Linked DNA regions of Macaca mulatta. The main gene of each other region encodes a partner of the protein of the gene in region 2 in a complex. Links are inferred from orthologs where the notes say so. Each region holds a gene or a part of one and is shown on either strand. Other genes may lie near its edges.

The links.
Region 1: NUP214 (region 2) and NUP160 share a complex: the UniProt entries of both Homo sapiens proteins name them as parts of the nuclear pore complex. The link is inferred for Macaca mulatta from reciprocal best matches to the Homo sapiens genes NUP214 and NUP160.
Region 3: NUP214 (region 2) and NUP85 share a complex: the UniProt entries of both Homo sapiens proteins name them as parts of the nuclear pore complex. The link is inferred for Macaca mulatta from reciprocal best matches to the Homo sapiens genes NUP214 and NUP85.
Region 4: NUP214 (region 2) and NUP107 share a complex: the UniProt entries of both Homo sapiens proteins name them as parts of the nuclear pore complex. The link is inferred for Macaca mulatta from reciprocal best matches to the Homo sapiens genes NUP214 and NUP107.
Region 5: NUP214 (region 2) and centrin-2 share a complex: the UniProt entries of both Homo sapiens proteins name them as parts of the nuclear pore complex. The link is inferred for Macaca mulatta from reciprocal best matches to the Homo sapiens genes NUP214 and CETN2.
Region 6: NUP214 (region 2) and NUP98 share a complex: the UniProt entries of both Homo sapiens proteins name them as parts of the nuclear pore complex. The link is inferred for Macaca mulatta from reciprocal best matches to the Homo sapiens genes NUP214 and NUP98.
Region 7: NUP214 (region 2) and CETN3 share a complex: the UniProt entries of both Homo sapiens proteins name them as parts of the nuclear pore complex. The link is inferred for Macaca mulatta from reciprocal best matches to the Homo sapiens genes NUP214 and CETN3.

Annotation. Positions count from the first base shown.
Region 1 is NC_133419.1:17,750,756-17,754,255, forward strand, and holds part of NUP160 (nuclear pore complex protein Nup160), read left to right. Parts: intron 1-1,458; coding exon 1,459-1,537; intron 1,538-2,083; coding exon 2,084-2,198; intron 2,199-3,274; coding exon 3,275-3,433; intron 3,434-3,500. UniProt on the Homo sapiens protein: Functions as a component of the nuclear pore complex (NPC). Involved in poly(A)+ RNA transport.
Region 2 is NC_133420.1:16,423,360-16,427,604, reverse strand, and holds the start of NUP214 (nuclear pore complex protein Nup214), read left to right. Parts: upstream 1-1,445; 5' UTR 1,446-1,564; coding exon 1,565-1,609; intron 1,610-3,162; exon of another isoform or gene 3,163-3,264; intron 3,265-3,695; coding exon 3,696-3,891; intron 3,892-4,245. UniProt on the Homo sapiens protein: Part of the nuclear pore complex. Has a critical role in nucleocytoplasmic transport.
Region 3 is NC_133421.1:84,893,998-84,898,281, reverse strand, and holds the start of NUP85 (nuclear pore complex protein Nup85), read right to left. Parts: upstream 2,801-4,284; 5' UTR 2,759-2,800; coding exon 2,726-2,758; intron 108-2,725; coding exon 14-107; intron 1-13. UniProt on the Homo sapiens protein: Essential component of the nuclear pore complex (NPC) that seems to be required for NPC assembly and maintenance. As part of the NPC Nup107-160 subcomplex plays a role in RNA export and in tethering NUP96/Nup98 and NUP153 to the nucleus.
Region 4 is NC_133416.1:75,841,611-75,845,110, reverse strand, and holds part of NUP107 (nuclear pore complex protein Nup107), read right to left. Parts: intron 2,351-3,500; coding exon 2,260-2,350; intron 2,114-2,259; coding exon 2,037-2,113; intron 590-2,036; coding exon 530-589; intron 1-529. UniProt on the Homo sapiens protein: Plays a role in the nuclear pore complex (NPC) assembly and/or maintenance. Required for the assembly of peripheral proteins into the NPC. May anchor NUP62 to the NPC. Involved in nephrogenesis.
Region 5 is NC_133426.1:159,106,006-159,110,251, forward strand, and holds the start of centrin-2, read right to left. Parts: upstream 2,801-4,246; 5' UTR 2,777-2,800; coding exon 2,774-2,776; exon of another isoform or gene 2,408-2,773; intron 1,826-2,407; coding exon 1,667-1,825; intron 1,345-1,666; coding exon 1,216-1,344; intron 746-1,215; coding exon 608-745; intron 19-607; coding exon 1-18. UniProt on the Homo sapiens protein: Plays a fundamental role in microtubule organizing center structure and function. Required for centriole duplication and correct spindle formation. Has a role in regulating cytokinesis and genome stability via cooperation with CALM1 and CCP110.
Region 6 is NC_133419.1:72,131,707-72,135,206, reverse strand, and holds part of NUP98 (nuclear pore complex protein Nup98-Nup96), read right to left. Parts: intron 3,047-3,500; exon of another isoform or gene 1,892-3,046; intron 1,758-1,891; exon of another isoform or gene 1,612-1,757; intron 1,203-1,611; coding exon 1,091-1,202; intron 964-1,090; coding exon 746-963; 3' UTR 1-745. UniProt on the Homo sapiens protein: Plays a role in the nuclear pore complex (NPC) assembly and/or maintenance. NUP98 and NUP96 are involved in the bidirectional transport across the NPC. May anchor NUP153 and TPR to the NPC.
Region 7 is NC_133411.1:96,792,236-96,796,255, forward strand, and holds the start of CETN3 (centrin-3), read right to left. Parts: upstream 2,801-4,020; 5' UTR 2,682-2,800; coding exon 2,665-2,681; intron 839-2,664; coding exon 703-838; intron 1-702. UniProt on the Homo sapiens protein: Plays a fundamental role in microtubule-organizing center structure and function. As a component of the TREX-2 complex, involved in the export of mRNAs to the cytoplasm through the nuclear pores.

The DNA.
Region 1 (3,500 bases), on a different chromosome or scaffold from region 2:
GACTGATATATTTAAAACCCAAGGGCCGGACGCTGTGGCTCACACCTGTAATCCCAACACTCTGGGAGGCCAAGGCGGGCGGGTCACCTGAGGGAGTCTCTCTCTGTTGCCCAGGCTGGAGTACAGTGGCGCGATCTCAGCTCACTGCAACCTCTGCCTCCTGGGTTCAAGCGATTCTCCTGCCTCAGCCTCCTGAGCAGCTGGGATTACAGGCATTTGCCACCACGCCCAGCTAATTTTTGTATTTTTAGTAGAGACAGGGTTTCACCATGTTGGCCAGGCTGGTCTCGAACTCCTGACCTTGCGATCTGCCCACCTTGGCGTCCCAAAGTGTTGGGATTACCGGCGTGAGCTACCACACCTGGCCTCCTTCCTTTCTTTCGAGACAGTCTCACTATCACCCAGGCTGGAGTGCAATGGTGCCATCTTGGCTCACTGCAACCTCCACCTTGCAGGTTCAAGCGATTCTTGTGTCTCAGCCTCCTGAGTAGCTGGGATTACAGGTGCCCACCACCACGCCTGGCTAATTTTTGAATTTTTGTTAGAGACGGCATTTTGCCACATCGACTAGGTTGATCTCAAACCCCTGACCTCAAGTGATCCACCTGCCTCAGCCTCCCAAAGTGCTGGGATTACAGGCGTGAGCCACCGCACCTGGCCAACATGACCTAAGTTGGGTTTTAAATATATCATGTTATGCTGAATAAACCCAGAGTCCTTACAGTGGCCTAGAGTGACCCACTGCTGTCTCTCTACCTTCATCTGTTCACTCTTCCCCTCCTCTTCACCAGCCACATACCTTCTTGCAATTCCTTGAATATGCCGGGACACCCCTACTTCAAGGCATTCGTTTGGTATAGCCAGCTACTAGCTTGGCTCATTCCCGCAGCTCCTTTAGGTCTTTACTCAATGTCACCTCGTTGAGGCCTTCCCTGACCACCCTTTTCAAAATTGCGGTGTCCCTGCCTGCCCTCCCTATGTCTTGGCATTCTCTGTACTCCTTTTGTGTCTTATTTTTCTGACTTACTGCCATTCTACTTAATTTAACTGTCTCTGCTTCTCCCCTTCCCCTAAGGGAATATAAGTTCCATGAGGACAGGAGTTTTAAAATTTGTTTACTGCTATGTCACCACCATCTAGGACTGTGCCTGGCACAGGAAAGGTACCTAGGGATTGTTTTGGAAAGAATGAAGTGATTCTGCTGGGTGGCAATATGGGTTACTGTCTGTAAAAGGCAAAAATTTCCACGGGAAGTATAAAAATGCTATTTTTATGGATCTAATAATGATTCAAAATATTTTAGGTGTGATATATGTAGGAAAGTTACGTCCTAAAACTTTGTTAGTACAGAAATACAGAAGCCTGTTGCCTGTTATAAAGACCTTGTTCGTGGTTACATCATTCTTGCCTTTGGGTTTCTCAAAGTGTGTTCAAGAGGTGCCTTGGATATCATTGCAGGTATGGTGTCAGTTGTGGAGCTGAAACAGAGTTCAGTAATGCAACGATTGCTTACAGGCTGGATGCCAACAGCCATCAGGTGAGTGGTGTCTGGTAGGTAAATCAAAGGGCCCAAGAATTTAATCTTTTTGTACTGGTCGGCAGTTATTGTTTCCAGTCTTATTCCAAGGCAAACATTATACTGGAAAGGAGAACAGTCAGAATAAAATCAAATTCCATCTGAGGAAAGCCATACTCCCAAGTCCATTTCGTCTGCAATTGGATGCATTGACAGCATAAAGCAGCCTACTGTTTATATTCTCAGAATACCCAGTTCGGTGCTCTGCCCTGACTTACCCAAATCGAGTTTTGTGTAAAATTATCAGAAGTAGAAAGTTTTTGATGGTTAAAGGAAAACAATACAAAAGGAAACAGTCTTCCATTGTTATGTAGAGCCTTTTAAATTTTATTGTAGTAATTGGTGATAAACCAAATAGAAATGTAGTTGTCTTATACTAGCATATAAGCTCTTGGTCCTTCTGCTAAGAGTGTACATTTATAATTCTATTATATTTCTTGAATTGCAAATTCTAATGATGAGATACTTTGCAGCAGTAAAACTCTAAAACTGGGTCTTATGTTTTAGGGGTGACCAGTCGCCTTCAGATCGTCCCCTCAGTCTTGCTGTTCATTGTGTGGAGCATGATGCCTTCATCTTTGCTCTGTGTCAGGATCATAAACTACGAATGTGGTCTTACAAGGTAAGTGCTACATTTATAGTTGCTGTAAGTTAAAATAGCATTGTGAATCATGAGAATTGAAATAAATTTTGCTGTTTCTCTTAAAGATGATCAGATCAATTAGTTTGGAAATTATTGGTCACTTCCAGATTCAGACAGTTTCATTTAGCTTTATTTTGCATATATTTTCCTCCTTATTGTCTTTTTATTTGGAAAAATTATCAATCTTACAGGAACACTGAAAGAGTAGTACAAAGTATACATTTCACTATTTTTTCTTTTTTTAAAATTTTTATTTTTTGAGACAGTCTCACTTTGTCACCCAGGCTGGAGTACAGTGGCATGAATGCAGCTCACTGCAGCCTCCGCCTCCCGGGCTCAAGCTATTCGCCACCTCAGCTGCTCAAATAACTAGGACTACAGGCTCATGCTACCACAGCTGGCTAATTTTTGTATTTTTTGTAGAGACCGGGTTTTGCCATGTTACCCAGGCTGGATGTTTCATTTAAGAGCAACAAATATGTTTTAAAAATGTAAGTTGGTAAAATGGTTTTCAAGATTCATCTAAAAAAATACAGCTTATATTTTATATGAGTCTGATCTTATATTTCAGACTGAAGAGATGTTTTACATGTTAGCCTCCCGCCCCCCACCCTCCCCTGAAACAGTCTTGCTCTGTCACTCAGGCTGGAATGCAATGGCGCAATCTCACCTCACTGCAACCTCCGCCTCCGAGGTTCAAGTGATTCTCCTGCCTCAGCTTCCCAAGTAGCTGGGATAACAGGCATGCACCACTGCACCTGGCTAATTTTTGTATTTTTTAGTAGAGATGGGGTTTCACCATATTGGCCAGGCTGGTCTTGCACTCCTGACCTCAGGTTATCCACCCACCTAGGCCTCCCAAAGTGCCGGGATTACAGAAGTGAGCCACTGCGCCCGGCCCGTGTTAGCCCTTTTAAAACAAAAACCTGTAAGGTCTTTTAGCAGATAAACTAGATAGAGTGGTAGATATAATGAAAGGTCCATCCTTTCAAAAGGTACGTTCTTCTAGCCTGAATATCCCTTGAATATCACCTATTAACTGTTTTCCTGGACAGGAGCAAATGTGCCTGATGGTAGCTGACATGCTGGAATATGTCCCTGTGAAGAAAGACCTTCGGCTCACTGCTGGAACTGGACACAAATTACGGCTTGCTTATTCCCCTGCCATGGGACTCTACATAGGGATATACATGCATGCACCAAAACAAGGACAGGTATGAAACACATAAGACACATACCAAGTTATTCTGTGTGTACTGATGTGGAGAAATGGCTGTAGAC
Region 2 (4,245 bases):
GAGCATTTATAATTCACTACAGAAATTTATTGTACGAAAGACTGTAATATCATCAGTCAGCCTTATATCCAGACAATCTCAGTTCTCATCCTGTCACTACCACTTTCTGACTGAGGGCCACCGGAGAAATTTCTCAACTTCCCCTGTGCTTCCCTTACCTCAACAATTATTATTATGTATGTGGATGTGTATATATACATATATATATCTTTTTTTTTTTTTTTTTCCTGAGACGGTCTCTGTCACCCAGGCTGGAGTGCAGTGGCGCAATCTTAGCTCACTGCAACCTCCACCTCTTGGGTTCATGCCATTCTCCTGCCTCAGCCTCCTGTGTAGCTGGGACCACAGGCGTCCACCACCACGCCCGGCTAATTGTATTTTTAGCAGAGGTGGGGTTTCACCATGTTGGCCAGGCTGGTCTCCAGCTCCTGACAGGTGTTCCACCTACCTCAACCTCCCAAAGTGCTGCGTACAGGCGTGAGCCACCGCGCCCAGCCCATTTTTATTTTTTGAGGCAGGGTGTGGCTCTGTTACCCAGGCTGGAGTGCAGTGGTACAATCACAGCTTACTGCAGCCTCGACCTCCTGGGCTCAAGCAATTCTCCCATCTCAGCCTCCTGAGTGTGCTGAGACTACATGCGCATGCCATCACTGCTGGTTAATTTTTGTGGTTTTGTTTTGTTGTTTTTTGTAGAGACGGGGTCTCGCCATGTTGCCCAGGCTGGTCTCAAACTCCTGGGCTCAAGCAATCCTCCTGTCTCGGCCTCCCAAGTGCTGGGATTATAGGCGTGAGCCACCGGCGCCTGGCCTACCTCATCAATTAAATAATAACCCCTAGGATGACTAGAAGTCTTCAAGATTACATGAGATCCCACATCTGAAGGTTTTTGCAAAGGACGTGGCACAAACTCGTGCAACTAGAGATGCATATGGCTCTTGCTCTGGAAATGATCACCTTGATAGGAGCAAACAAAGCTGGTCTTCCGTGCCCTTTAATCTCCCCTTCCAGCCTTCCACCTTCCACACTGGCGACCCCCCAACCCCGTTTTTCTGAACCTCCCTTCCTCCCCTTGCATAGCCCAAAGCCTCTCTCTAAAGTAGCCCACCGAAAACATCTGTCAAGTTCCTAACTTATCTGAATCGGAAGCTACTAATAGCCAACCTACATCTAAGAGGAACTGTAAGGTGTCAGAGGAACAAGGAGCATAGGTCGCTTAGACGTGGGCCACCCAAGAAGACAGATTGACACTAAGCGAACCCGCGCTGTCTGCGAAGGCGGGAGCGGCACCAGGACGATCCAGGGCGCAGGCGCCGGGGCCCCACGGCCACGCCCCTATTCAGCACGAGTTGGCCAATGGGGAGCGGCGGCCGGGAGAACGCGCGGCTTCTTTAGGTTCCGCTGCCTCCCCGGCCAAGCTTGACGTCACCAACGCGCGCCGGAAATGCGAGATCAACTGCGCGCCGCTGGCGCTGAGGGAAGGAAGTTTGCAGTCCAGCGGCCTAGGTTCTGTGGGCAAGGCCGTGGGAGGCAGCGTTGGCTGCTTCGACACACCGAGGGCGGCGCGATGGGAGACGAGATGGATGCCATGATTCCCGAGCGGGAGATGAAGGTCAGAGACTAACTGGGGCCTCCCTCCCTTCTTTAGTCCTGGCGTTGCCTTGGAGCCCAGCTGAAAGGCGAAGCGCGGTGCCGGCTGTCCCGTCTCCTGCTTGAACAGACTACCGCGTTCACCGCTCTCAGCTGCGCGTCTGCCGCGCCGCTGGCGTGATAGCCCCACCGAATGCAGTTTCCCAGTCCCATCCTGGTCTCGTGCACGTCTCTTGAGTTACCCTAGCTAGTTTCATGTGGCGGTCACAATAGTGGCAATAACTGCTGTGTATGGAGCGTTGACTGTGTGCCAGTCGCTGTGTAGTCATCGCAGCAGCCCTACGAAGTGGTTATTAACGTAGAGGAGTAAGTCGAGGCTCGGAAAGTGATTTCCCTAAAGTCACATTTGACAGCGGGGCTGAAAGCCAGCATCGTTTAAGACCTTCGCTCTGCCAGTATTTCTGTAAGGCGGTACGGGCTTGCCTAACGTAGGGTCAGGGGAGGTCATCCATCCTGCAGAACCTTTAGTTGACTGGACTAGGAAGACTGTTTTGATATCGGTGTATCAGCCTCAAACCAGGAACCTAAAGGGAGGGCTAAGTGTTTCCAGTGATGGCAACGTGGGAGTCCCCCAGGGATAACTTCAGGATGGTGTGTTTAATAGTTCTTATATGTGTTCTGACAGAATGAGGGTGCAGCAAACGGCCTACATCTGTTTTAAATAGTGAAAGGAAGTAAGATGCAGGAAGATTTTAGTCATCTGTGTGAACAGTAAATCACTAACATGCATGTAGGGCATAGTAATACATACCCTGTTTAGAATAGTGATTTTTTTTTTTTTTTTTTTTTTTGAGACAGAGTCTCGCTCTGTCTCCCGGGCTGGAGTGCAGTGGCCGGATCTCAGCTCACTGCAAGCTCCGCCTCCCGGGTTCACGCCATTCTCCTGCCTCAGCCTCCCGAGTAGCTGGGACTACAGGCGCCCACCACCGCGCCCGGCTAATTTTTTGTATTTTTTAGTAGAGACGGGGTTTCACCGTGTTAACCAGGATGGTCTCGATCTCCTGACCTCGTGATCCGCCCGTCTCGGCCTCCCAAAGTGCTGGGATTACAGGCTTGAGCCACCGCGCCCGGCCTTTTTTTTTTTTTTTTTTAAGACATAGTCTCGCTCTGTCACCCAGGCTGGAGTGCAGTGGCATGATCTCGGCTCGCTGCAACCTCCACCTCCCCAGCTCAAGCGATTCGCCTGCCTCAGCCTCCCGAGTAACTGGGATTACAGGCACCTGCCACCATGCCTGACTAATTTTTTATATTCTTTGGTAGAGATGGGGTTTCACCATGTTGGCCAGGCTGGTCACAAACTCCTGACCTCAAGTGATCTGCCCTCCTCTGGCTCCCAAAGTGCTGGGATTACAGGTGTGAGCCACCGTGTCGGCCTAGAATAGTGATTATTTTTTGAGAATCACCACCTGTGGTGAGCCACCTAATGGGATTGTGTCATATTCCTCAGATATACTGGGGTAGAAGAAAAAAAGGGTTTATTAATAGAATCACAGACTTAGAAGATGGTAATCTCAGACTCCCTTTGGCAGCACATATAAAATTGGGATCATGCAGAGAAGACTAGCATGGCCCCTTTACATGGATGACACACAAATTCGTGAAGTGTTCCATGTCAGAAAACACTGAAGGCCGAGCGGAGTGGCTCACGCCTGTGAGCCTGCACTTTGGGAGGCTGAGGCGGATGGATGACTTGAGGTCCGGAGTTCGAGACCAGCCTGGCCAACATAATGAAACCCTGTCTCTACTAAAAATACAAAAATTAGCCGGGCATGGTGGTGGGCGTCTGTAGTCCCAGCTACTTGGGAGGCTGAGGCAGGAGAATTGCTTGAACCTGGAAGGCAGAGGTTACAGTGAAGCAAGATCGCCCACTGCACTCCAGCCTGGGCGACAAAGCGAGACTCCGTCTCAAAAAAGAAAAAAAGACAACTGAGACAGACCGTGTTCTCAGTAATATATATTTTTGTTGTACTGAAATTGGGTCTACTGAATATAACTTGTTTTAATTTCTTTATTTATTGAATTGATCTTGTTTTGATTCTTCACAACAGGATTTTCAGTTTAGGGCGCTAAAGAAGGTGAGAATCTTTGACTCCCCTGAGGAATTGCCCAAGGAACGCTCGAGTCTGCTTGCTGTGTCCAACAAATATGGTCTGGTCTTTGCTGGTGGGGCCAGTGGCTTGCAGATTTTTCCTACTAAAAATCTTCTTATTCAAAATAAACCCGGAGATGATCCCAATAAAATAGGTAAGTTCCGTGGTTTATGTTGCAAAGTAGAGAGAGGAGTGTGGTGGCATGCTCTTGTGTTTCCTTCCCAAGAAGTCATTCTAATACTAAAATGAACACTGCTGTCAGTTTGAAGGTTGACTCCCAAGAAGATTAATGGAAGCCTTTCTAGGTTTTCTCCTTGGTCCTTTGTACTTTTCCTTACATGAGTTGTTCTTCTCAGCTCAAGAGGGAAGAACTTAACCATTATGCCATACTTTTATTCTTGCCCAGTTGAACTTGGGCTCTGGCTCTCTGGGTGAAGGGTTTTATTGGCATGGGTTTTCAGTTGGCACAACAGTACGATCCAAACTATTGGCAATGTGTACTATTTAG
Region 3 (4,284 bases), on a different chromosome or scaffold from region 2:
AAAAAACCCCTACCTTTTTTGCTGAAGGAGGTTTCACACACCAGCATCTCCCCTGGACCCCAGTCAAAACACATTTGGTTCTTCTTGGAATTCACACCTGGAATCACCTAGTAAAATAAGACATAGAAATCTAAAATGAAGAATGTTCTTCTTACTGAAGTCGTTCTATTCTTTTTTTTTTTTTTTTTTTTTGAGACAACGACTCACTCTGTCTCCCAGCCTGGTGTACAGTGGCACAATCTCAGCTCACTCCAATCTCCGCCTCCTGGGTTCAAGGTCTTCTACTGCCTCAACCTCCTGAGTAGCTGGGACTATAGATGTGTGCAACCATACCCGGCTTTTTTTTTTTTTTCATTTTTAGTAGAAATGGAGTTTCACCATATTGCCCAGGCTGGTTACAAACTCCCGAGCTCAGGTGATCCACCCGCCTCAGCCTCCCAAAGTGCTAGGACTACAGGCGTGAGCCACCGTGCCCGCCTGGCTGAAAAACACTTTCCACCATGCCGGCCTGGCTGAAAAACACTTTAAGTGAAGAGCACAGCTGGTCCTGTAATAACATTGTATCCTTCAATAACATTTTCTTATAACACTAGTAAGAAAAATTCATTTTGTGCTGGGCACAGTGGCTCCCACCTGTAATCCCAGCACTTTGGGAGGCTGAGGTGGGCAGATCATCTGAGGTCAGGAGTTCGAACTCTTTTTTTTTTTTTTTTTTTTTTTTTGAGACGGAGTCTCGCTCTGTCGCCCAGGCTGGAGTGCAGTGGCCAGATCTCAGCTCACTGCAAGCTCCGCCTCCCGGGTTCCCGCCATTCTCCTGCCTCAGCCTCCCGAGTAGCTGGGACCACAGGCGCCGCCACCTCGCCCGGCTAATTTTTTGTGTTTTTAGTAGAGACGGGGTTTCGCCGTGTTAGCCAGGATGGTCTCGATCTCCTGACCTTGTGATCCGCCCGTCTCGGCCTCCCAAAGTGCTGGGATTACAGGCTTGAGCCACCGCGCCCGGCCAGGAGTTCGAACTCTTGTTGCCCAGGCTGGAGTGCAGTGACGCGATCTCACGATCTCCGCTCACTGCAACCTCTGCCTCCTGTGTTCAAGCGATTCTCCTGCCTCAGCTTCTTGAGTAGGTGGGATTACAGGCATGCGCCACCACGCTAGGTTAATTTTTGTATTTTTTTTAGTAGAGACGGGGTTTCGCCATGTTGGCCAGGCTGGTCTCGAACTCCTAGCCAGGTGTGGTGGCTCACGCCTGTAATCCCAACACTTTGGGAGGCTGAGGTAGGCGGATCACGAGGTCAGGAGTTCAAGACCAGCCTGACCAAGATGGTGAAACCCCATCTCTACCAAAAATATAAAAATTAGCTGGGTGTGGTGGCACGCACCTGTAATCTCAGCTACTCAGGAGGGTGAGGTAGAAGAATCGCTTGAACCTGGGAGCCAGAGGTTGCAGTGAGCTGAGATGGCGCCACTGCACTCCACCCTTGGTGACAAAGTGAGACTCCGTCTCAAAAAAAGAAAGAGGCCAGCCGCAGTGGCTCACACTTGTAATCCCAGCACTTTGGGAGGCCGAGGTGGGCAAATCACGAGGTCAGGAGATCCAGACCATCCTGGCTAACACGGTGAAATCCCGTCTCTACTAAAAATACAAAACAAAATTAGCCGGGCGTGGTGGTGGGCGCCTGTAGTCCCAACTACTGGGGGAGGCTGAGGCAGGAGAATGGTGTGAACCCAGGAGGCCGAGCTTGCAGTGAGCCCAGAGGGGCGCCACTGCACTCCAGCCTGGGCAACAGAGCGAGACTCCGTCTCAGAAAAAAAAAAAAAAAGAAATGAAACCATCCCTCTACCTACCCTGAGATGAATGCATACATAAATTTTTCCTCTACTCCCTCTTTTCACAGGTAAAATGCAGATTTACTGAGGCTAATCAGAGACTCACAAGAATGTAACCATTTGCCTCTTCACTGCCTAACCTCCCTTTTTTGCCCCTCCTGCTAGTTCCTTCCTCTTTAACTACTGATGTTCCCAAAACCATCTCTGGAAAAAGCACAAGTCTCAGATCCTCCTGGGACCTGTGTTTTTTCCCGGTTGGATCCTCAACCTTAGCTAAATAAACCTTCATCGGTTGAGACCTGCCTCAGTCAGCGGTTAACAAGAGAAAGAGGGAAAACAAAAGCATTCCAAGTAGCAGAAACGGTAGGTATGTCGCACATAAAGTCCATGAATTTTTTTTATACACATCACAGATCATCCACAGTTGACATACTCTCTTCAAAGTTCAAATGGAATTGAATGCACAGCGATAAAATATGAATAGTCTCCTGAGATAATACGTTTAATAAACCTTAGGTCACACAAGCAGAACTCAACGTGCCGCGATGCAGAGCTTAATATGGCTGGAAGAAAAACATAAATTCCTCTGCTTGGGCTGAACCCACTCTAATACCCAAGAGGAAATGCGAGGGAAGTAGAAAGGTCAGCAAGACAAAAGAAGGAAAGGGACGGACTGGGACCTTCGAGGCCTGGCTTTGTGACTGGTGGCAGAAACCCCGCGACCACTACGACCCGAGGTCGGGCACCTAGTTAACACTGCGACCTCCGGAAAGTGGCAACTGAATCAAGGGAAGGGGACGAGAGCCTCGCAGCCAGTAGGGAAGCAGACAAGCCTGAAGTAACGAAGCAGACGCAGTTCTCAACCCACAAGGACGATCAAGCCTGTTCGGGGTGCCCTTACAGTGACTGCTGGCTCGCCATCGAGCTCCTCCATAGCGCCGAACCCCAGGCTCTGGGAAGTCGCCGGGACGTCAATGCTTCCGGCTCAGGCCTCCCGCTCAGAGCTGGCTGAGAGACAGGACCCCGCCTGGGCGCCTCCTGCAGCGCCTGCAAGCCCAAACCTTCAGTGCTGCGGCGCTCTCTTCCCTCAGCCACGGCCACCCCTCTGCGGTCCTCTGCGCGCGTCCTTCCTTCCTGGCGTCGACAGCAAGTCAGGGAAAACAGCGCCGAGGACGGACTGCACTCACAGTACCGCGCTAACGGGATCAGGCGGCGCCGCGGACACCCTGGTGCCGAGCGGAGAGAAGGCCCCCGGAGAGGGCGGGCGGGGCAGGAGGAACCCTTGGCCAGAGACGGTGCGACTGCGCGTGCGTAGGCTGGGGCGGCGGCACCTGGGTGGGAACTTGTGCCGGACTGAGGTCCCAGTAAGCCTGCAAGCTTTCCCAACTCTGGGAGTCCTCGCTCCATCCTTATCTCCACCTTAGTGTCGTAGCAGCCACTTGTCCAAACCCAGTCAAATGGGCTTGTGCTGGAAAGCAGTCGCCGTCACTCCCACACTAGAACACACACAAGAGGCACGGGGAGGCCGGGCGCGGTGGCTCACGCCTGTAATCCCAGCACTTTGGAAGGCTGAGGCGGGCGGATCACAAGGTCAGGAGATCGAGACCATGGTGAAACCCCGTCTCTACTAAAAATATAAAAAATTAGCCGGGCGCAGTGGCGGGCGCCTGTAGTCCCAGCTACTCGGGAGGCTGAGGCCGGAGAATGGCGTGAACCCGGGAGGCGGAGCTTGCAGTGAGCCGAGATTGTGCCACTGCACTCCAGCCTGGGCGACAGAGCGAGACTCCGTCTCAAAAAAAAAAAAAAAAAAAAAAAAGAGGCACGGGGACAAAATCGATGCTCCTGAAGGATTAGAGGCTTGAGGTGGCTCAAGCCTCTAATCCCAGCACTTCGGCAGCCCGAGATGGGCGGATCACTGGAGGTCAGGTGTTCAAGACCAGCCTGGCCAATATGATGAAACCTCGTCACTACTAAAAATATTTTAAAAATTAGCCGGGCTTGGGCAGGGTGCGGTGCCTCACGCCTGTAATCCCCAAACTTTGGGAAGCCGAGGCGGGTGGATCACAAGTTCAGGAGTTCGAGACCAGCGTGGCCAATATGGGGAAACCCCCATCTCTACTAAACATACAAAATTTAGGCCGGGCGCGGTGGCTCACGCCTGTAATCCCAGCACTTTGGGAGGTCGAGGTGGGTGGATCACCTGAGGTTGGGAGTTCGAGATCAGCCTGACCAACAGGGAGAAACCCTATCTCCACTAAAATTACAAAATTAGCTGGGCGTGGTGGCGGACACCTGAGGCAAGAGAATCGTTTGAACCCAGGAGGCAGAGGTTGCAGTCGGCCGAGATCGTGCCACTGCACTCAAGTCTGGGTGACCAAAAAAAAAAAAAAAAAAAATTAGCCGGACTTCGTGATGGGCGCCTGTAATCCCAGCACTTTGGGAGGCCGAGATGGGCGGATC
Region 4 (3,500 bases), on a different chromosome or scaffold from region 2:
TAAGCTTTCCCCTGCCAACTACATCTTGTAAGATGTTTGAACTGTTCAGATTTTTTCATACTGTTAACAACAACATGTTTTCCAGGCTCATATGACATTTCAACTGATTAGTGTAGTATCCCTAAAGATAGCTATAATATGTGGGGAGTATTGGGTTGTGAGAAAAACATGCGTATGTAAGACAACCCAAGGACTCACTGTGCCTTTCTGGCACATTTCTGCATACAGCTATGAGTATTTTAAGTCATCAATAAATGTGTGTTGGAGTTAAGTTTACAATTCTTAGTTAAAAACTGAAATCTGATTTCATTCATTAAAACACCATGTATGTTATGGGATACATCAAATTAAGCACAACGAGTCACTATCTGATTCATGATTATCTCTATCATTGCTACACTTAAGTATGTACATACATACTTAAGTATATACACTTAAGTTTATATTTGTTAAATACAATTGTTAGAATATTTTATCTATTTAATTTTATTCCACAGAAAAAATTTAAACATTAAAACAGATTGCATACCTGCTTAAGATTCCCACTTAAAGCTGCATAAATTGCTCTCTCGTATCTATTAAAAAGCTCCTAAAACACAATGAACATAAACAAATTTGAAATACTGTTTTTCTTAGTATGTCAATTTTCCTCATAATGTGGAGTCTTGCAATCTCTTCTAGACTGAACCTATTCACCTGATAGTTTTTAAACTTTAGTGAAAGATCTAGTGGGGTAATAACAAGGAAGAACTTCAGTGTGATGAAATAATCAATGCTGAGATCTGGAGAAAAAAAGTAAAACATTTAAATGCCAAATATCGGGTGAAAGCAAATCCAACTCTAGTGGATGCTTTGAATATTTAAAATCAAATTTTATTCCAGAAACAACCTATATATTATTTTCTCCTAGAATGTTTCTCAATACCTGATACTCTCTGATATTGACCTGATACTCTCTGATACTGACCTATGTACAACATCAAAACAAGGCATGCATTAGTTTGCATCTAATTTCTATGTAGAACTAATTCCCCATTTTACTTTTGGTATTTCCAGTTTTCTTATCATCCAAACAAGAGACTTCAGAGACTCTTACTGCATAACTGAGTCCACCTCTGCCTTCTGTTTCTAATCACTGCTCCTAACCAGTGTCTCTTCCTTCCTTTCCATTCCCATCAATACTATCCTAGGTCAGACCCTTATGACTTAGTGTCCAAATAATTCTGACAGGCTCCTAACTACTTTCTCAGCCTTTTGTCCATCTAATTTTAAGTATATTTTTCCATTGCCAGGCTGATCTTCTCAAAAACACTTCTGCTATCTGCGCTAAAGCTTCTACCACCCTGACAGCCAATTCCACAAGCAAACTTTGGGCCTTTTTCAAGGTAAAGTGCCATATTTATTGTAGTATTTATGTATTTTTTAAACTGTTTGACAGATGTAAAACTGTGCTACCATTTTTATTAACTTTTTATTATTTTACGTATCACTAATGAAGTTTTTGAGTATTTTTGTCTTAACTCCATTTTCCTGTTAAGTCCTATGGGGTTTTCGTACAATGCTGCACATTGTGGTGACTTTGAATACCTATGTCATGTTACAACAGAACTGACAGTATTTCCTTTATGAGCATTCTTCTCCAACCTGGTAGACCTACCTTACTTTGAGTTTCCCAATCTATGTATCCTACCTAGAATTCCTTCCTCTTGTTTTTCATTCCCCAAAACGCAAATCCTACTAAGTTTTAAAAGTTCAATTCAATTCTTTCCTTAGGGAAGCCAGCTTTAAGCTTTAGTCCAATACTTTTTCTCTAAATTCATTTGGTACCTCCTTTACATTTCTGCCTTATATCAATGCTTAATTCTTAGTACATAGTGTTTTAATAATTCTGATAAGTTGTTAAGCCTATTCCTCAATTTAATTGGAAGTTCTTTGAAAACCAGTTTTACACTACTTTCAACGTTTCATAGCCCCTGAATAGGCTTTCAATTAATTGGAGTTAAAAACAGTATCACTGAATATTTTATTTATCTTACATCTTCTGCCATTCTCCAGCAACTTATTTTCCAAATGCGTCTATATGGATTCCCTTCAACAGGTTCTAATTCTGTTCCTATAAAACAGTAAAAGAAAATTTCTGGTTTAAAATGAAACCTTATTACAATCCTTTCTAAAAAGAGAAGCTATAGTTCACAAAGATTGGCATTTAGAGCGAAATGCCTTTGTCCTCAACTGTCAATATAAAATCTACTAAAATACCTCCATTAACATTAGGGTCATGGTACAGTTTCCAGCCTTCAAGTGTTGCAGCTCTCCATGCTTGACCACAGCGTTTACAGAGTCGTTGTGCCTTAAGAAACAAGAAAAAGCAGTCAGTACAATAACCAGGGTACTTTAGAGTAAAGTATAACCAATATATGACAAGTTTAGATAACTTATGGAACAAATGTTACAAGGGATGGATGTAGGCAGTTAATAATGGCATTCTGGCTGGGTGCGGTGGCTCACGCCTGTAATCCCAACACTTTGGGAGGCCAAGGCAAGTGCATCACCTGAGGTCAGGAGTTCCAGGTCAGCCTGGCCAACATGGTGAAACCCCGTCTCTACTGAAAATAGAAAAACTAGCCCGGCGTAGTGGCGGGCACCTGTAATCCCAGCTACTTGGGAGGCTGAGGCAGGAGCATCACTTGAACCCAGGAGGCAGAGGTTGCAGTGAGCCAAGATTGCGCCACTGCACTCCAGCCTGGGTGACAGAGTGAGACCCTGTCTCAAAAAAAAAAATAAATTAAATAAATAAATAAATAATAAATAATGGTATTCTATTTTTAAAACATATGTATGTCTTTCTGTGGCTTCTGCCTTTATTTTTCTTTCTTTTTAAAAATTTTTTGCAGAGACAGAGTCTCATTATATTGCCCAGGCTGGTCTCGAACTTCTGGACTGAAGGGATCCCCCCCACCTCAACCTCCCAACGTGTTGGGATTACAGGTGTGAGCCACCATACCTGGCCCTGTTTTTATTTCTAAAAAATCCCTTTTCTATTTGACTTTAGGCTTAACAATAGGTTCCCACGGCACCCACTGGCATTTAATTCTGCTAGAAACAAATGGGGTTAAAAGAGGTTGATGACCTCTGATTTATGAAAAACTACTACAAAAACAGTCTCTAATGACAAGGCTGTTACTGCTCATTTACTCCCCTGATAATATTGCATGTTCAACTTGACCAGTAAGTCAGTAAGTAAATGTGTTTATATACCAGTAAGGTAAATACATGTTTGTTGTTCCATCATCCCTTTAGGGAATCACCTTTTCCCCATTCTTAGCTCCTATGTTTTGGATAGGCCTGATCCCATTCCAGAACTCTGAGTTTAGGGATGTGAGCTATAGCAAGATTCACCATCAGGACTCTTGCTGGAGATACTGGGAAAGAAAATATACTCCTTTTACTGAGATTGCTAGCTGGCAGGAGGATGTAAGCTTGGAGCGTCTCATATCCAT
Region 5 (4,246 bases), on a different chromosome or scaffold from region 2:
AGCTTCATCAATCATTTCCTATATGACAGTAAAGATTCAGGTTAGATTAATTTATAAACTAATGCCAAAAGGTGACTAAGTAATATGACTCTTTTTAGAGACGGGGTCTCTATGCTGCCCACACTACTCTCAAATTATTGGCCCCAAGCGATCCTCCTGCCTCAGCCTCCTAAAGTACTGGGATTACATGCATGAGCCACTGTGCCTGGCAAGCAATAGACTTTTAATAACACTATGTGAATAGATAATTGTAGTCCACCCAATGCCAGTATGCCACTCCTGATAATAGCTTGGTTCCTGAAAACTTATTTGAAAACCAACTCATACTTTGTCAAACATTATCACCTGGGAGGGAGCTTGAAGATTACCTTGACTAGAGGGATTCCTGGAATGTAAAATAGTAGGCAAAACTGTGCCTATGTGCATTTTTCTGGAAGCAGCGTTCATAGGTTTGTCTGACTATTAAAGGAGAATTCAGTTGTCCACAGAGGGACAAAGTACACTGGCTTTCCTTCAAAGAAGTGCTCACACTAGGGAAAATGTAACAGAAAAGTCACAGAGGGCCCAAAGGTGGGAATCTTAAGTTCCAGTGTGATGCATTACAAACCTGCAGCTCCTCATCAGTCAGGTTCTCACCCAACTCCTTGGCCACGCGTTTCAGATTTTTGAACGAAATCTTCCCAGTTTCATCATCATCAAAGAGCTTGAAAGCTTTCAGGATTTCTTCTTTGGTATCTTTCTCAGACTTACCAAATAGAACATGAAACACATGAGTAGGGGGACACCATGGTTACTCATGTCCTGTAGCCCTGCCACTGCCCGGTCAGGTCACCCTTTCCTTTTTAACAATGTAACTCGAGTCTAGACTTGCAGCAAGTGTCAGGAAGCCCATTTTGGCCTCAGAGAAACACCAGTCAAGCCAGGCACTCCATCCAAGGTGACGTTTGCTCCCTATCCCTATATCTCTCCCTATCCCATATCTATTTCCTAACTGGTTTAGAATTCTGTGGGAAGAGGTATCTGCTTGGAAGTCTTGAGAAAGAAGTACAAGGGCTTGTTTTGGGAGCCCAAGGTAACATGATGGGAGGGCAGGCCTCCTGATGCAGCTGCTACCTGGACTGCTCTGTGGTCACATGACTGTTTTAACAGGCAGATGCCATGGGCCTCTGCAGATGACTGGGGCGCCATACCATGCAAATTGTCTTAGCTACTCACCATTTTCTGGGTCATCACAGTTAAAAAGTCACCAAAGTTCATTTTTCCTGTCCCTTCTTTGTCAATTTCACTTATCATTTTCTTAATTTCTTCTTTCTTAGGTTCAAAGCCCAGGGCCCTCATTGCCACCTATAATGAAAACAGGATTGTCTCAATAAGCACATCTGAACTAGCAGCAGCAAAAACAACAGTGTTGAGAGCATTAAGCCAGCATCTGATGTGGTCATGTTAATATGATTGGGGAACACTATAACATTGATCTAATTGACATTTGCAATCAATTTTATTTAATAATACTCTAAGTAAAGACAGGAAAACAGAGCACAGTACAACCTCCCCTGTTACTTATTGCAGGGAGAAGAGGGCAAAAGGGGTAGAGAGGTGATAGGGAGATGACAAGGAAGAGGCAGAGGAAAGGAAGGGCAGTACGGCAGGAATGCATAGAGCTTGCCTTAAGTTCTTTAACATCTATGGTGCCAGTTCCATCCGCATCGAAAAGATCAAAAGCTTCCCGGATCTCCTGCTTCTGCTCTTCAGTAAGCTCAGGCTTAGGACTCATTCTTTTTCTCTGGGAACTTGATGCCATGTTTGTCTTCTTAAAGTTGGAGGCCTTCATACGTTATGCAATACACAAGCACAATAATATATCGTACAGTCCATATTTACATAACATAGTTACAGACACCCATATGTAGTTTTAAATAATTTTATGGCAACCAATTCCAAAGCTTTGCTTAACAAGAAAGATAACAGGGTTTACTGGCAAGAACAATGAATCTTTCCATGAACTTCTATCCCTCCCTTTTCTTTACTGTCGTTTCTAGAAGCAGGGAGATCACTTGTTCAGTAAGGATACCTCTTACTGAAAATCATCCCAAAAGAGAGCTAGTCAAGAAAATGACTGCGAATAAGTAGAGATAATCAGCTCTTCCCGAATGTGGGGATCCTGGTTCTGGAAACTGCCTTACAATGCCCACTCCCAGTACTCCGCTTCCCAGTAAGCACTCTGACTTCCCAATTACTTCTAGATTTGGCCAAATATTAGCAAGTTGTTAAGATGTATATTGTGTCAGTATCGAGTAATAAAACTCAATCCATCTGACACCTTCGTGCCTTCTCCAAGAAGCTACAGCATCCCCTGAATGCCCCTATATTTAAATTGTAAAAAACACTTTAATAGAACACAATACACCTTCTCCCAGCTCTGTGTGGAAATTTTGGCAGAATGAGGCGGCCAGGGGGCCAAGGTCTGAGAAAGTCAGGGGCCTGTGAGGGATTCGAGTCTTTTTTGCCCAGGGAGGTTCACCGAGGTGATCAGGGAAGGCCAGGGGAGCCCGAGGGGCGGGTGTGGGCCTGTTGTGGGTGAAGGGGAGGCAGCAGCAAAGCGCAGGCCCAGTAGGTTGGTTAGCGTCTGTACCCTACTCTTCCGGGAAAGAGCTCAAAGGAAGGACTGGTGCGTCAAAGCCGAGAAAGGCGCAGGAGAGGCGGCGTGGCCGAGCTGGGGCCTGGGAAGGGCTCAGCCTCTGGGCGTGGGGCGCGACAGAGCGGCAGCACTCACCATAGCCAAAGGAGTCCACGGCCGGTTGTTAGGCAACCGACGTGTACACTGATTCGGCGCCGCTCCCACCGCCCCGCGCGCACAGCCCCGCTCCCCATTGGGCGTCCGCTCGCCGCCGCCGCTCCCTACTGGTGCAGGGCCGAAGAGGGTGGGACTAACCTGGCAAAGCCCAGGCCCAGCGCGGGGAGGGGCACGCTGGGGACAGAGACCTGTCTTTATTGGGCAAGATCAAGCCGTGAGCGCCAATTGGCTGAGCCGACGCCGAGCTGGGCCAATCCTCTTGGTAGAAGAAGCTCGGCTGATTCTCGGCTCACGCGGGAGGGGAGTAAAGGGTGGCGTTCCGGGGCTGGAGTTCGGTGGGTGCAGCCTGCTTGCGAGCTGAGGCCAGCCAGTGGGGCACCTGCGGACGGGTAAGAGTCGTGGCCTTGCCCTTGGAGGCCACCCTGTGTCAGCGACTGGGCGGGGCGGGAGGGTGAGGAGCTGCGGGGCCGCCCGGGTCGGGTGCTTTCTGTGCTGACCTAAGGCTGAGTTAGGGACCGAGTGCATCAGAGCAGCCAGAGACGATTGACCTTGCGTGTTGGAGCAGGGACTGTACTCACGGGGCAACTGAGACCCGGAGAGGGGAAGGGGTCTGCTGAGCGTTGTGGCAGAGGTCGGACGGCTGGGACCTAGGAACTGAATCCAGCCGAGGCTCGCTCTTTGAGGGTGGCCCTTCGAGAGCACCCCCAGACTGACCCAGATGTGTAGGCCCCAGACCAGGTTCCAAGAGAGGATCACTTCAGGTCTTACCTGGCTAAAAACAGCCCAGGACGGTGAACTGGGGGCTTTGGGAACGGACTTTGAAAGGAGTGAAGGGGATGTGAGCAAGCAAGAGGGGCGGGGAGAGGTCATCAAAATATACTCTTTTTGACACCCACACAGTGCAGATAAGGAGGAGCATTCCAGGCCGAGACGCCCTCATCAGCAGAGTCACAGGAGTTTTGGAAGTGAGAGGTATGCTTGGAGAATTAAAAGGGAGCGTGTGCAAGGGCTGTGTGGACTGAGACAGACCTGCAGAAGTGGAGCTGGAGGTCCAGTTTGCCCTCTTTAGCTGTCTACGTGGCTTTTAGCCTTCACCTGATTTTCCTCCAGGCACTGGGGCAGTAATCTAGGGAAGTAGAGGGCAGAAAGTAAGTTTTTCAGGCAGAGAAAGGCCTGAGGCTTATTAGAACCTTTTAAATGGAGCTTCTGCCCTTTGCCCTCTTCAGCAGTGAACAGACTCCTAATTTTTGGGTCATCATCATCCCCCCAAGTAGTACGAGCCAGAGTTCTCATCATGGTCTCCAAAGCTTGGCACGACGTGTCCCCTCCCATCACTCCACAACTCTTCTCTCAGCCCCAGAACACTGGCTTTGTGGTTGAACCTCATGTGCCAGCCACACTACTGCCTCTCATCTTTGTCCCAGTTGTCCTCTCTGTCTGCCTCCTCTTAAG
Region 6 (3,500 bases), on a different chromosome or scaffold from region 2:
AAGATGACTGAAAACCAGGGACCAAACCAAATTCTGGGAGCTTCCCATAGACATGTCACATATGACCAAGGGCTCCTGCACATAGTAGTAGCAAAGGTATGGTGTTCATGGAACACTAAAGGCAGGAACAAAAGAAGCTCTGAAGATCAATCCCTCCATGGCAGGCATTCACTTCTGCCCTAAGTGTGTCAGAAAGATCCCATTCTGTTTCCTAACTCAGGCCAACCCTCCTCTGCCTCCAAAATTCAGTGTTAACTAACCAATTACTTAAGAGACGGATCCCTCTTCCTTCTGTGGATAGTTCACCTGTTAAGGATCCATTACTACCTGTCTCACTCCTCCTAAGGAGTCCTAGCATAAAAGGGCCAGGGTAGGAGTAGGGTAGCTGGTTGGCATGGAGGGTCACAAGATCCAGAATGGCTAGGGGTGAAAAAGGATTCCCTGGTTCTTTGGGGGATTCTGCCAAAGGAGCTTTATTGACCATTTATTAAAAGGAAAAACACTGGTCTTGAGGATGGTAAAAAGAGAATTGTCTCCTCTTCTGGGTTCCAGAAGCCCTTATGCTATGTTTAGTATTAAGAAAAGCCCTGAACAACTGGAGGATGCTGCTTGTGGCAGCAGGGAAGGAGGGCAGATGCCATAGCCAACCCAGAGAATGGCAAACAGTGCCAATCCAAACAAGGCAGGGAACCTCTGTGTGGTGAGTGTGAACGGGCATGTGAGTGTGATGCAAAGAGTCTGGGGCTCACAGGCTCCCAACAGCGAGTTCTCGCAGATAGGACTGGGTAAGGCTGCGCAGTTCGTCCATGGCATAGTCCTCAGGCATGGGGAGCCGGCCAATGTGGGGAGCCAAGAGGCGCAAAGGGACTCGCTGAGGGTCTGGTGTTGAGTCGGAGGTTCTATCAGGAGCATGATGCAGACTCAGCACCACCCGCAGCAGGTTGGCTACACGTTTGGCCATGTCTAGAGAGAAAAACTAGAGTTAAGCACTGAGCATGGGTCTAGAGAACGGTGGCAGGCACTGAGGGTGGGGTGTAAGATAAAAACAGGAAGCAAGAAGGCAGAAAAAGTGAGGAGATTAGAGGCTTACCTGACTGAGCTAGGCGATCTTTAGCATTGTAACACTGAATCTGCTCTATGCGACTGCACAGTGAAGTCACTTTGATGTGTAACTGCTCCAGGTCATAACCTGAGCAATCCACCTACAAAGAAGCAGAGAAGTCAATTAATCCAAGGGGAGTTCCTATCACTCAACACCACCTATAGACTCTATACAAAACCTTGAAACAACAGTGAGGTGAGGGAGGGGAAAATCCAAGAAGATGACACAGGGTCAAGCCACCACCATCTAGTGGAGGACAAGGCACTAATTATGCAGTAACAGACAAGAGGAAGGTAACATAGTGTACACAGCCTTGGACTAGGAAAGTCTTGAGATCCCGAAAGATACAGCAAGCTTTAATAATACAGCAAGCTTTAATAATACAGCACCAAAAATCAAGATAAACTGGGTTCAGAGAGATGGTATGACTTCTTAAGAGCACACAGGAAGTAAAAAATGCAGCCTGAACCAACATTTAATTTAGGTCCCCTGACTCCAAGTTTATAGCCTTTTCTATTTTTTTTTTTTTTGAGACGGAGTCTCGCTCTGTCACCCAGGCTGGAGTGCAGTGGCGGGATCTCAGCTCACTGCAAGCTCTGCCTCCCGGGTTCACGCCATTCTCCTGCCTCAGCCTCCCAAGTAGCTGGGACTACAGGCGCCTGCCACCTCGCCCGGCTAAGTTTTTGTATTTTTAGTAGAGACGGGGTTTCACTGTGTTAGCCAGGATGGTCTCGATCTCCTGACCTCGTGATCCGCCCGTCTCGGCCTCCCAAAGTGCTGGGATTACAGGCTTGAGCCACCGCGCCTGGCCTAGCCTTTTCTAAAACACCAAAAAAGCTGGGTGCAGGCAGCAGGAGGATCAAGAGCAAGACAAATTATTTGCTCTCATGAAACTGACAGAAACTAAATAAGAAAACATAAAACAGTAATACATCCTGAAAAATCACAAGCCATGTAGATAATTTAAACAGGTGGATGTTGCAGAGAGAAACTGGATAGCTACTTGAGACTGGAGGACCAAGAGAGGCTTCTTCAAGGAGGTCATATTTAAGTCGAGACCTGAATTACAAGGAGAGAGCTCAGCTTTCCAGGCAAAGAGAAGACAGCTAAAACTCCCAAAGGTGAGAATTCAAAGGAGATTTACATGGTGACATGTGGGGTAAGGGGGAAAAGCAGAACAAACCAATACTAGAGAGGTTTTATGTAACACAGGCTTTTTTTTTTTTAAAGGGGGGCTCTCGCTATGTTGCTCAGGCTGGTCTCAAGCAACCCTCCTGCCTCAGCCTCCCAAAGTGCTAGGATTACAGTCACGCACCACCACATCCAGCTATGTGCTGGCACATTGATAGTTCTCTTTGCTTAACCCCTATACTTATGAAGCTACAGTAACTGCTGCTTTACTTGTATATATCTCCCCCACGAAATCATTATTTTGGTAAGGGCAGAACACATACTGTTTACTTTTATATTCCCCAAACCCACTACAGTGCTTGGCACACAGTGAGTTCTCCATAATAGTTGTGTGAATTACTCAATATTCAATGAGAAAGTGGTTTCTTCAAATGATTATTTAGAAATGATGCTCTTGATTCACATGAAAAGTACAGCAAACATTGAATTATGCCTATTATGTGTCAGGCGCTGTACTAGGAGTTGGAACTTTGATGAGGATAATAATAGGTAAAAATTATTAAGCATTTAGTAGAGGCTAAGGTCAGGAGTTTGAGACCAGACTGGCCAACATGGTGAAACCCTGTCTCTACTAAAAAAAAAAAAAAAAAAGGCTGGGCATGGTGGCACACGCCTGTAGCCTGTAATCCCAGCTACTGGGGAGGCTGAGGCAGAATTGTTTGAAGCTGGGAGATGAACGATGCAGTGAGCTGAGATTGTGCCACTGCCCTCCAGCCTGGGTGACAGAGCAAAACTCTGCCTCAGCCGGGCGCGGTGGCTCAAGCCTGTAATCCCAGCACTTTGGGAGGCCGAGACGGGCGGATCACAAGGTCAGGAGATCGAGACCATCCTGGCTGACACGGTGAAAGCCCGTCTCTACTAAAAAAAAAATACAAAAAACTAGCCGGGCGAGGTGGCAGGCGCCTGTAGTCCCAGCTACTCGGGAGGCTGAGGCAGGAGAATGGCGTGAACCCGGGAGGCGGAGCTTGCAGTGAGCTGAGATCCGGCCACTGCATTCCAGCCTGGGCAGCAGAGCGAGACTCCGTCTCAAAAAAAAAAAAAAAAAAAAAAACTCTGCCTCAAAAAAAAAAAAAAAAAAAAGCATTTAGTACATGAAAGGTACTACGTTAAACACTTTATGTAGATTTGGTTTAATCTTTGTGAAAATCTGTCAGATATGAGCTGTAATTTGTACTACTGTCTACCCCACTCACCTTTCTCATTCAGA
Region 7 (4,020 bases), on a different chromosome or scaffold from region 2:
CCTTAAGAAATTACAAAAATTAAAACTATCAAATAAACACTTACATTCACCTATCCATTAAGGCTATTAAAAATCTCAAAATACTATCTTTCCCACTGTGCTGAAAGTAAGTCCCATTCTACCCTAAACCCAAATCTCTCCTTATACCCTGACAAATAATAATTTACAAATCCCTCTCTACACCTTGACATTCTAGGTCTTAAAGTTGACATTTTTACCTACAAGCATGTGTCAACATCAAACAGCACTGAAGTTGTTTGTACCACAGAAAGTGGATTGAGACTATGTTACTAACAAATACAAATTATAAGATTAAAAGACAACAATCCCACAATCTGAAAACAGTATGAGTCACCAAGAAACAAAAACAAAAACAAAAAAAACAGTGAAAAGAATATGGTAATAGTTTAAATTCCAGTTTGAAATCCTTTAATTATGTCAGTGAAAAATAAGCACCTTCCCTAGGAATGTATTGTTACATTTAAAATGCTATTCGTTTTATCACGTGAAAAAGATTTTCTAAAAACTGTGTTAGGAGTTCTATTCAGTATTATTATAGAATCTAACTATGAATGCTTAAAATGCCTTCATAGTTCCAAAACCAATTTAGTTAAAATAATTACTTAGAAATGTAATGTAAAGCAACTGTCAAAATGCAAATCATTTTAACACAGAAACAAGTATTTTAAAGTATACCATTACCTTTAATTCATGATAATCTATTGCTTCATCTTTGTCTGTATCAAATAGTTCAAAAGCATCTTTAATTTCTTGTTTCTGTTCCTCAGACAGTTCTCTTCTTTTTTTCCTCTTTGTTTTGTCTACTACAAGCTCACTTCTATGAAATGGAAAGAAAAAGCCCTTAGTCCACTTTAATTCTCTTTACTAACAGAAATTAGCCAATAATTATTTTCTAAATTTCAAAAAAGAAAGTACTTTGGAGAAAGACAGGGAAACTTTCCCTTTATGAGTCAATGCCCTGTTTATTCCATAGTCTAAATTGCTATAAATATGAACTTCCCAAAACTAAAGAGTGTTACAGATTATTAAAAGAAATGAGGACCAAACTTTTCCTTTTCCCAGCTTTTTATTTATTCCCACTTTCCCTAACTTTTTATTTATTCAAGAACTGTGAATAAGCAACATTACTTTTATGTCTGAAACTCCAACCAACTCCAACCAAAAAAAAACAAAAACACTCACATTATTCTACAAGAATGTTAAAGAAACCAAAAAATCTCCAAATGAAACCAAAATTCGTAACTGACAATCACCATATATCGGTTTACTTTTGATAGTTCTGATAATTAAGTTCATAAAATTACTACAAAAAATACAACTGGATTAACTTATATTTTGGGACTGTTGGTTCAAAATGTTTTTAGATTACACGTTTCTAACAGTTTGGCAATTTATGTGTCATTTCCTCCACTGATATTAACAAATCACCCAAAATATTAATGAGTCTAAACATATGACAAATATTAGATGTCAAAAAAGTATACAATATTTGTGCTTCATAAGTCTTGTCTCACTTAAGATGTAAACTGGAGGTTAAACTTCTCATAAACTCTGGAAACGCTTAAAGAAAAAAGCAAAAATTACTTTAAAGCCAGAAATGTTTTCCGTAAGAGCTGCCCATCTAAATGTGCTCCAAGTTTTCCAATGGAGCCGCAACACTGGTATAAGAACAAGTTTTGAAACACACAATCTGGTAACACATTAACATGTCAAAACCAGTTGACTGTATTTAAAACACGTATCTAGCTGCATTTGAAAGTCGTTTTGGTCTCTGAACGCTACAAAAAAAAAAAAAAAAAAAAAGGCTAGGAAGTGACCAGTAGATGCAGTATGACAAAGCTGAGGAAGATCTTCCTTTCATGAGACCTGACTTGACACAAACTTGGGTATTCCTGGGGTCAGTCTTTTCCTTCCTGAGACTTTTAGAGGCCAAGTCCAGAACCGACCCACCCCTGACCCCATCCAAGGGTACCATGATTATCCCTTAGCAGAACATGGAACATTTTTAGAGTGTCCTAAGTATATGTATAGTTTTACGGTACAACGTCTACGTAGGGGGAGCGGGTAACAGACAGAGGGTTAGAGGTTAGAACTGAAAGGTAAAGAAATGAAAGAAACAGGAAATCCAAGAGACAGTTTGCCAATTAGTCACTAAAATGGGTTTCTAATTACACCGTAAAGCAGGACCTTGGGAGAATAGCAAAGAGTTTTTTGTTATTTCCAAAATTTATAGGTGGATGATTGCATCAGCAGCAGAGCAGCGGAGGTGGGGCCCTGGCCAGGCATACGAATTGAATGAAGGGATGTTCCGCGGCCTGATCTCTCAGAGCAACAGAGTAGAAGCCTCGCGATATTTCATTCCCTCCCCCTCGCTCGCAACTAAGCCCATTTTTTTGGTAGTCGAAAGCCCTACGCGCTGACAGAAATAACCTCCTTAGTAGAAATGCACTGGAAGTCTCGTTCCCTGCAGGGCACCAGAGCCCAGAGGGTGAGTGATCCAGACAGGCTGCCCTAGGCTCCTTTCCCGCATCCCAAACAGCATCCCCTGCCTCGCCACGGCCCCAAACGGCCTCCCTTCCACACACACCCTCCCTAGGTCCCGCTCCGGGGTGTGGAGAGCACTGCCGCCTCCTTATTACCGACCTCAGAGCTAAACTCATTATCTCTTCGGACAGAGTCGTTCCTCTCAAGAAACGATTTTAACCCCCTACCCAAAGCAGCAAGACTCCCACAACCGTTCAACAGACACGAACGACCTCAGCGGCCTCAGGGACCTCCCACAACATAGACACTTTTGAGCTGGATTGGTTGAAATGTCGCTATGGTTCTGCCCATTATGGCGGAAGCTTTACCAGTTTTATTTTAATTGGGTACGCTTTACGTCAATCAAGAAAAAAAAAAAACCTCTCTCTCCCCGCCCCCCCCCCCCCGCCACCCACCCCGCCCCTCCATTCCTAGGGCCGCTCTCGCCCTTCGGATTGGCCTGATGCCTTTTTCCCCAAATCCTTTGCGGGTCCGGCCTCCGATCCCTGTGTGGTGGTTTGCGTAGTGGGTGCTCCTAGTCTCTCGCGTATTGTCCTGCGGTCTGTGGGCCGACGTTCGAAAACTGGATAGATAACTTGGACGGTGGGAAGGGAAGGGACACGCTGCACGCCACCCTCCGGCTAGAAGGAGGCAGTAGTTGAGGAACAAGGTCTGCGAAGCGTGGCTCTGCTCTGTTCTAAAACTTTGGATGGCTTCAGTACCTGGGGAATGTCTTTAAAATGCAGACTTAAATGCCCCTTTCTCCATTCTAATTTCAGTAGGTATGAATCTGCGTTTGTATTCCTCACAAGCCTTCCAAGTGATTCTGAGGCAGGTGCTGTGACTATACTTGGATTATCACAGGGTTAGATTATCAGGCTATTTATGGTGATGCTGTATCTAAACCGCCCTTCCCTCTCCTTTTCCTCCTTTGAACTGTTTGAAACGGATTTGTTGGCTTCTGTCTCTTATTTTACGGTGCTGTAAATTGTTAATACACGTGAGACTGTATTCACTACCAAACCAAGTCTCCTAAAGCTCACTTGAATGTCTACTTATTCGTCTCCCTTACCAGGTTCAGTTTCTTGAAGGCCATGATTATATCTATTTAACGCTTTTCCTTGTACCTAATAAAATGTCTGGTGCATAGGTGCTCGGTAAATTGAGTGGAATCTTTTGAAAACCCACAAAATACTGAGCTAAACAGCAAATCTCATAAACGGGAATAAAATAGCCTGAGAATGGGAGTTGAAGGCGGAGAATATGTAAACATATGTTTAAGGGATGTATATAAAATTTTAGAGAAGGGAGAGAGCACAAGATGGGCTTCCTAAAGAGGTGGCATAAACGTTAGACCTACAAGGATGGGCTAAATTTGCACAAGTAAAGATAGTATGATAGAACAAGCTAAAAATTAGCTAAGGGATAGCACCCCTAAAAAACAAAAGCGGAACTTTTATTTTGTTCGTATTTTAA